2 linked regions of the Arabidopsis thaliana genome follow. The protein of the gene in region 2 interacts with the protein of the main gene of each other region in a biochemical or structural test. Each region holds a gene or a part of one and is shown on either strand. Other genes may lie near its edges.

Region 1 (4,495 bases), on a different chromosome or scaffold from region 2:
TGCATTTGGTGTTATAAACTAGTATTTGGATATTATATTCTTAATCATAAGTTTTCTTAACGAGAGGCTTTTCGAATTCATGTACAATTTGCATTTCTTGATTTATTATGAAAATACTTAAATAGCAACTGATTAGAAAGACTTTTAAGTTTAGGTTTAGTTCCTAAAAAAGTATTTTCTTTGTTTTAATTGTATTATCATCTCACAAGAATTAGACCATATGCCCGCCCACATTGTTGATAGATAGCAAATGCCTAACGCCTAAATCAACTGATAAATTATAACAGTTAGATCGCCAGAGTATTAGTTAAAGTCTCCTAATATTGGTCGTGTATCTTTTCTGAGTTTTCTCTTGCTAATATCTTAAAAACATTGTGATAGTGTTTCTGTACTAGTGCCACCGTCGTATCATAACTCGGATTTAGTGTTGTCGCTATATACTTGGATTCAAGTTTGATAAGTGTGCGTATGTTGTAGACGAAAATTAAACATTGTGGTAGATAGGAAATGCCTAAATGAACTTACTATATTGATAGTACTTTAAAACTTTTTATATAACAGTATAGTAAATATTTAACATATTCAAACAAGATATGACATTTAAAATCCGTTTAATGGGTGTGAGAGGTACAAATCTCTTATTGCACACAAACATATAAAGAAAAGGAATTAAGAAGCAAATGGTCGGAGCTCAGAGAATACGGCAGTGACTTTTCCGGCGACCATTCTTTTCTTTGTATTCAGCAGAATTGCTACTACGCTTTGCTGCCATAACTCTCTTCCCTCTTCTCCTAATAAATTACACACATTTTAAAATAATTAGGTATCAAGATTTTCGATAATATTTAAAAGAAAAAGAAGAAACTAAGCCTTGTAACAAAAAAAAGTAAAAATAAAAAATACTGGTTACCAACAAAAAAGTTCAGTCATAATTAAAGGTTTGGAGATTCTCATTTCATCTATCTAGCTTTTGCTACTTACCATCCATTTTTGATTTTATTCCCCAAAACATATCTGCCTTTTAATTTAAACAATTACGTTCTACCTCACGAATAACTACTGTATGCATACACCACTTTTTATATGTTTTTGTTAAAATGTAGAATATATTGAATCAAGAAAAACACGAATGTTATTTACAAAGCTGAAAGTTGAAGTGGGGAAAAAGAGAACTGAAGCTTGAAAACTTTTGAAAGAAAAAATGAAATGGAAGTTATGTTTTTCTTTAACCCTTTTTCGTATTTCCTAAATTTTATCTCTTGTTTTAATCGTTACAAATGATAATACTTTTTTCTAACAGTTTACTTATTTTCTTATATGAACCGTAAAATAAGAAAAACATATTTTAATTTGACTCAAATTATATGGATTATTGCCAACATTCCTCTAAAAAATAGGGGAATTTCCAAATTGACCAACAATTTAAAAATAAATAAAAAATTCTAAGCTTTTAAAACTACCGATATAATGTTTTCAGACATTTTTCCTACAAATTTTAATCACACAAATAACCCTTTTTTTTTTTAACAAACATTGCAAACTATAAAATACAATAAAATAAAAAAGTACTAATACCAAGAGATAGCTTTTTCAACGACCATTACAATGGTACTTCACATAATATAAAATAAACTAAAAACTTCCAAACAAATAATTTAACCCAAAGTCACAAAATAGTTCATAACATGAAATTTGGGACGAATGCATAATAATGAACAGTCAAACATAGAATAAAGCAATAATCAGAGTTGTTCAATTCAAAAAAAGAAAGAAAGAAAAAGAGAGAAAAGATATGAGAATAGTTTCCTCACTTTGCCATCATAACTTTGACAAACTCTTCATAATTGATCTGACCATCTCCATCAACATCAGCTTCTTTGATCATCTCATCAACTTCTTCATCAGTTAACTTCTCACCAAGATTTGTCATTACATGTCTTAACTCAGCTGCCGAGATGAAACCGTTCTGGTCCTTATCGAAAACCCTGAAAGCTTCTTTGAGCTCTTCTTCAGAGTCAGTGTCCTTCATCTTCCTAGCCATTAGGTTCAGAAACTCAGGGAAGTCTATGGTTCCGTTACCATCAGCATCTACTTCGTTTATCATATCTTGTAACTCTGCTTCTGTTGGATTTTGACCTAATGATCTCATCACTGTTCCTAGCTCTTTCGTTGTGATGCAACCTAAACACAAAACCACACATTTCTCTCAAATCAGTAACAGATTTTAACACCAAATCTTCAAATTTTCATTGTAATTTACTCTAATAACACACAAAATCTTCAAATTTCATTTTAGTTACTCTAACAACTGTATCAAATGAACACAAAATCTTCAAATTTCATTGTAACCTACTCAAATAACTGAATCAATTAAACAAAAAATCTACAAATGTCAATGTAATCTACTTCGATTATTGAATTCTAAGATTTGTGTCAATTCTAATCACAATTAGTAAAATCTGGAAGACTAAAACACGATTAAGTTAGAGATTATTATCGAGATAGATCCGATTGCGATTATAATTTATAATCAACGAACGATAAAGATATCATCAAATCTCGCGTTTAATGTTAATGTGAATATCCAGAGATTTTATGGACAACGAAGAGCATCAAATTCCTAAAGCCAAGACTAAGTGATACTCAAAACACCAAAAAAAACGCAAGTGAGTCTATTATGAATGAAAATTATACAAAAGAGGAAAGATCTGAGAGAGAAGAACCATCTCCGTCTTTGTCGAAAAGGCTAAAAGCTTCCTTGAACTCAGAGATCTGATCATCGGTGAGCTGATCTGCCATTTTTTGGTTTAGATGAGAAAGAGAGAAGAAGAAGAAGAAGAAGAATCAACGTTGGTGTGTGTAATGAGAGGATTGTTGTGTGGAATTATAAAGAAGGAAAAAGAAAAGGCCCATTAGGCCCAATAACAATAATTTCGAATCTGATTCTCTTTTTTATTCTTCTTTTGTTTTGTTCTCCACTGGGCCTTATTGTGTTTTCAATTCGACTAGCTTTACTTAAGAGGGAGGTGATGTATATATTCCCTTGTGAAAAGAAATAGTATTGTTGTTTTGCCGACAACCATTTACATGCTTTGAATGGTTTAGTTCATATAAGTTACTGATCTTACCATGCGTACCAATACTAAGTATTCAACGAGTTGGTAGAATGGGATTACTAGTGATATAAAACGGTAAAAAAGGTTTAGCTTTGTGTTTACCATGGATTTTAAACTACTTTTTAATTAAGTTAACCAAAGAAAAAGTTTTAGCATTATAAGAAAATTTAGAAATAGTAGTACTTTTTATTTACTGTTTTTGTAATTAATAATCATCTAGGAGTTAGGACAAAAATCACTACTTTGTTGTTGGAAGGGTCACCTAATGGGTAGTTAAGCATCATGACCTTCACTTAAAGATTTGATATTAAACAAGATCCAGTTTTCGCAAAACTGTCATACTTTTTTGATCGCCACAACTATGTCTCTCAGTTTGGCTAGAGATGTAGTAAAAAACAAACTTATTGTATCCATCACAATTATAGGTAATTTACTGTCTTGGTTTTAAAAACATGTAATGTTGAGCATCCCAAAGTTTGTGTGTCCCAATGCTAGAGCATATTATAGTCTTACCTCTAGTGAGTTCATAAAGAAGTGTTGTATGATCATATATTTTGTTGAGTAAGAGAAATATTTCTTTCTTCCTCATGTGGTTGATTATTCAAAATTATACAAAAGAGGAAAATCACTTAAAAATATTCACGATACCGTTAAAAGATTACCAAAGAATGGGCCAAATCATAATATTAATAAAGCCCGTTAATAACCGAATCGACCCACCCGACAAAACAACCCGAATCGTTTTAATATCCAACCCGGAGTCAGACGGAGCTCCAAAGATTTGGCTTGTCTCTGGCTTGAGAACAAAGAAAACCCCTTTCTTCGATCTCAGCTTAAATCACTCGACGAAGAAGAAATCAGAAAAGAGTCAGAGAAAAAAAAAATCAAGGAAGATGAGTAGCATTGGAACTGGGTACGATCTCTCCGTCACCACTTTCTCTCCCGATGGCCGTGTTTTCCAGATCGAGTACGCCGCTAAAGCTGTCGACAACAGTGGGTTAGTTGGCTTTATCTTCTTCGATCTTCGCCCTTTAGTAGATCGGATTTAGCTTCTGAAAACTTTGAGATTTTGGTTATCGACACGAATTAGGGTTTGTTAAAAGTCTTTCCCTTTTTTTTTCTTCGCAGGACTGTTGTTGGAATCAAGTGCAAAGATGGGATTGTTATGGTTTGATTCTTCCTCCTTCCTCTATTGATTTTTATACTACTTTGTCACTTTCTTCAGTGGGTTTAGTCTCTCGTGCTGTGATTTAACCTTGGAATGAAGTATTCACATTTTTGTTATCAGAATTGTAGATTTGATGTAATATATACCGTGTAAATTTTGACCCAAGATGACACATTTTACAGTCCCTTAGTTTCATTTCCTGTTCGATATG
Region 2 (4,467 bases):
ACGATAAACGATCTCTGATGAGCTTTGATCTGAGCTCTGAAGAATTTAATGTTACTAAGCTACCTGAGGATTATATATTACAACAGTTTGGTAATATGGTGGACCATAGTGGAAAGATAGCTATAGTGAGTCAGGCATACAGCGGTCCAATGGACCTGTGGGTTCTTGAAGATGTCAGCAAAGAAGAGTGGTCAAAAGTTGCTGCCATAGTTCCTTCTATTACAGATATAGTTGGGAATGATCAAAGAGTCATTTTCAGGGGTATACTTTCTACTGGTGAGATTATACTTTCACTGCTCCCAACCCCCAAGCCGCCCTTCTTTTTTCTCTGTTACGATCCCAAGGAAAAAACTGCTAGAAAAGTTGTGATTCAAGGAATTGGAGAAGACTATGCTGCTATTAATGTCTTTTTCGATCACGTAGAGAGTCATATGGTTCTGTCGAAGCTAACTTAATATATATGTTGATGACTAGTTCGTTTGGTTTTTCCCCAAGCTTCTCTTCTTTGTTCAATTTCCATTTCAGTTCTCGGATAGATATAGTTTTAAAGACTCTCTTCTTTGATATTGGAATTGAGACATTTGATTCACCATTTGTCTAGTCTTTTGGTCAATGGTTTTCTATGCTTTCGGATTATGCAAATGCAATGCTTATGACTTGATTAAAGTAACTTTTGCGTGGATCTTACAAGCTTCGGTTTTATATTTGGAGAGAAGAAAAAGAGTTTTGTGTTGCCTAGACGGATCTTCTTCATCATTTTATGACTCAACCTTATATATCGTTGCATGCATTGATACATATATTGAAGAAAAAGCTCAGTTGAAACCAAATTGTTGATGTTTCTTGGTACTGCCTCTGCCACATAATCCGAGTTCACAAGTGCTCTTATAACTTCTGTCAGAGTGGAAATATACAATTGCAAATCAGAGCTACAAAGACCGGTTTCTTGAATCAAATTCATTCTTTCTTCAAATCCAAGAGTAGACGCCAAAAGGACATACATATTGACTCTGTATCATCAAGTGTGAGCTGATTGTGAAGACAATATTCTTGAATGGTTATGCTCGCCTTCGTAAGTTACAATTAACATTGAAGTTTCATCAATACATCGCTCCACATGCTTCCTTGCTGGACAACCTCTCACACTGCTGCATTTATAGTATCCCCTGCAACCGAAACAACAAAAGGAAACTTATATCAAAATCGACATAAAGTTATTGAAATCTTATACCAGAAGATGTTTATATATATACCGTGGATGCGGTGAACCCTTTATCGGTTTCTGTCCATACTTCCTCCAAGAATACTCATCTGGAGGAATGTCTGCAATCTTGTTACTGATTGCAGGCACCTTGATTGATCGTTTTACCCTCAGTTTCCTGTATAAGATCAAACCTTTACAAAGAGATACAAAAAGAACAATTTAAAGGGTCAAGATTGTCACAAAGAACAATGACAAACCTTTTCTTGGAACAGTGACATTTGCTTCGACTTCCGCATTTCAAACTACCAGAGCACATCTTCCGGGTATGCTGTTGGTCAGACCCACGGGACAATCCGGTCAAATGGAACGAGTTCCTATCGTAGTCTGTTACACTAGCATCCATGCTAAGAGATGACACAAATGATCTTGATCCGTTTGATACACTCGGAGTATAGCAACTACTACCAGATCCATCAAACTTAAGGTTTACACCGCTATTACTCCTGGAGTAAGCTATCTGCTGGTGGTTGTGGATTAACTGATAAGGAGCACGAAAAGGAGGTGGCTTTAACTCCAGAAACGACTTGTCAACACACATTTTGTGACTAAGCATTAATGAAGGATGACCCAATTGGTGTTTTGGCTCCATTTCATTATAAACAGCAGAAGCTGGAACCATCTGAAGTGGCTCTGGTGCAAGAACTTGAGTGTAATCACCACTTAGATCATTACCGCAGCAAATAGGACTCTCTAAGAAGATGTGTTGAGGAAAAGATGACCTAAACTTGTTGGTACTCCTAAACTTTCCATGGCCTAACCCTCTAGTTAACAGAGAAGCTACTCTTTTGAACTTGGAAACTACTTCTCCTGTTTCAACCGTTAAGGATTTGGGATCACTGGTTCGTTGTGACAAGAGATTTAACACTCCATGACAGCTTTCTATAGCTGATCTGTTAGCAGCTTCAACTTCCTCCATGTTTTTCTTCTACCCAAGTTTCAGATCAGAGAACCAAAAAAAAAAAACCTAATTTCACAATTCTCAAACTCAAACAGTTAACAACACCCAAATCTCTCCTAGACCAAGAGAATCATAATCAACACAGAAACTAAAAAGCCTAACAAAATACAGAACTTGCAACCTATATAACAAAAGATCTCAAAATAAAAATCTAAACCAGATTAAGACATGAAAAAAGAGAGTACATTAGATCAAATCCAAGGCGCGTGAAAAATCCAGAACTCAATCTCTAATAACCCTAGGAAGAAACCAATCACCATGAGTTCCACCAAATCACTTCCAAGGAAAAGTGCTAAGTAAAAATCGAAACTCCCTCAATCCTAAAGCTAAAAAATGAGATCTTTCTCAACACACAGAGGATAAAAATTAGCTCATGACAAAGGGTCTTCAAAAGAAGAAGAAAGAAACTCCCTGAAAATTTAGAGCTAGAAGAAAAAATGAGATCTTTTTGAATACCCAGAAGGTAACAAATTTAGCTCAAGAGGAAGAAATCAGATAGGAAATTTTAGGATAAAATAAAGAGAAAGAAAGATTTGTCTTGTTTGTTTCTTTGTGAGAGAGAGAGAGAGATAGAGATGGTGAGATAAAAAAGTGTCAAAGGTTATGACTTTTGCTTTGTGGGTGGGGAAGAGTTTAGACTTGCTTTTACTTAAAATTCCCCCACCACCACCATTTCTACAATTTTTAAATATTACCAAAAACCCCTTTTTATTTCCTTTTTTTCTTCATTTATTCACTTCTCAAGGAGACCAAATTTCAATTTTAAATTTTCCTTTTTATTCTTAAAAGCTAAAGTTATTCAATTTCTGGGGAAAATAAAACCAAACACAAAAACATAAGTGGAATACAGAACAGAGATGTGGTCGTCGCAGTTTCAGAGGAGAGGAAGAAAAAAAAAACAGAGCCCTCTGTTAAAAAAGAGTTTCTTAGGTGGGTCCTACTAGTGGACCTACTTTATACCTACTGTTTTTCGTACAAATAGAAAATTGATTAAAATCATAAACCGTATCAATTAAAGGAAATTAGATAATGTATCTTAACATTTTCTGATTTTCGGATATCTTTCTCTTAAAGTAAATGATGTGATTAACTATAATATCTTTAAAGAAAAATTAGAGAAAGAGAATGGATTAGAGTCAAATATCTTTAATGATAATTGGACATTGACTCAGTAAAATTCTTGTACTACTATATTCATATGTTTTAAAAATGATTCTAATTCCAAAGCAAAATTCGAATTGATTTTGTATTCATTTTAGAAAATATTTTTTATTTTTTATTTAACTATTTCTCGATTGTCATGAAATGGAAATAACGTCCATTGTGGAACCCACGTGTCTCCCGTTGATTTCGAATTCCGAGCACGGAGTTAGAAAAGTAACGGTATAGATTTCGACACGTGCCCTATCTCATCTGGTCGTCTCTCTAGCACGTTGTATCACGAATCACGATTGTTGACTAGCTCTTTTTTGTTTTCTTTCTTTCTGTTTTTTTTTTTGTGTTTGTTGTTCTTGTTGTTAATTATACGATATTTTTATTATTCTTGTTTTATCATATTCACAATGATAAGTGAAACTTTCTTCTTATATCTATAAATCTCTAATCATCAGTCAAATGATTGAAATTTTCTGTATTTAATGTGCAGGGTTAAAAAAAAAAATGAGGCTATTAAAGCATATAGAAGATCTTGTAGCATGTAAATTTAGAATTTTCTAAATATGTTTTGTCTATTGCAAATGAATGACAATTTTAACATTTTGAACTCAAAACATATCCGTTTTAATTATCTTTCAATTGAATTAGCATAAGAATAAAATATTCTTTTCTATTCTAGGAGAATCATATAAGATTAATGCGACTTGGTTAGACAGACCAACTAATATTCTTCGGATCCGATTCTAAATACAGAGCTTATACAACAATACAATTGAAGTGACTTAAAATGTGATAGTAATTTAGTTGAATTAATAACCAATAATAATACATGTGTGACTTTGAACATTATCATATACTATTTCGAAATCATCCAATAACATAAGATATGTTCGACCTATCAAATTTAAAAATGCTACACACATCACTTGAATATGCTGAACCAAACAAACAGAACTAACGCACTAGTAAATCAACATTATTTTTTGCTCACTTCATAACATCAAATTACAACCAACCATCTATTCCGCAATAATGATCTTTTAAACTCAAAAACTTGTGCATTTGATAAAGAAGAAAAAGGCTATTTGTA

Evidence for each region.
Region 1: the proteins of WRKY39 (region 2) and CAM5 form a complex in vitro, tested with the Arabidopsis thaliana proteins (one study listed by BioGRID).

Annotation. Positions count from the first base shown.
Region 1 is NC_003071.7:11,530,373-11,534,867, reverse strand, and holds CAM5 (calmodulin 5), read right to left. Parts: upstream 2,902-4,495; 5' UTR 2,800-2,901; coding exon 2,724-2,799; intron 2,182-2,723; coding exon 1,812-2,181; coding exon of another isoform or gene 1,808-1,811; exon of another isoform or gene 1,584-1,807; intron 792-1,583; coding exon 692-791; 3' UTR 510-691; downstream 1-509. Other genes in the region: PAG1 (20S proteasome alpha subunit G1), read left to right, coding at 3,704-4,113, 4,245-4,284. UniProt on the Arabidopsis thaliana protein: Calmodulin mediates the control of a large number of enzymes, ion channels and other proteins by Ca(2+). Among the enzymes to be stimulated by the calmodulin-Ca(2+) complex are a number of protein kinases and phosphatases.
Region 2 is NC_003074.8:1,265,512-1,269,978, forward strand, and holds WRKY39 (WRKY DNA-binding protein 39), read right to left. Parts: upstream 2,868-4,467; 5' UTR 2,181-2,867; coding exon 1,462-2,180; intron 1,380-1,461; coding exon 1,254-1,379; coding exon of another isoform or gene 1,226-1,253; exon of another isoform or gene 1,167-1,225; coding exon 1,019-1,166; 3' UTR 545-1,018; downstream 1-544. Other genes in the region: AT3G04660 (F-box and associated interaction domains-containing protein), read left to right, coding at 1-455. UniProt on the Arabidopsis thaliana protein: Transcription factor. Interacts specifically with the W box (5'-(T)TGAC[CT]-3'), a frequently occurring elicitor-responsive cis-acting element.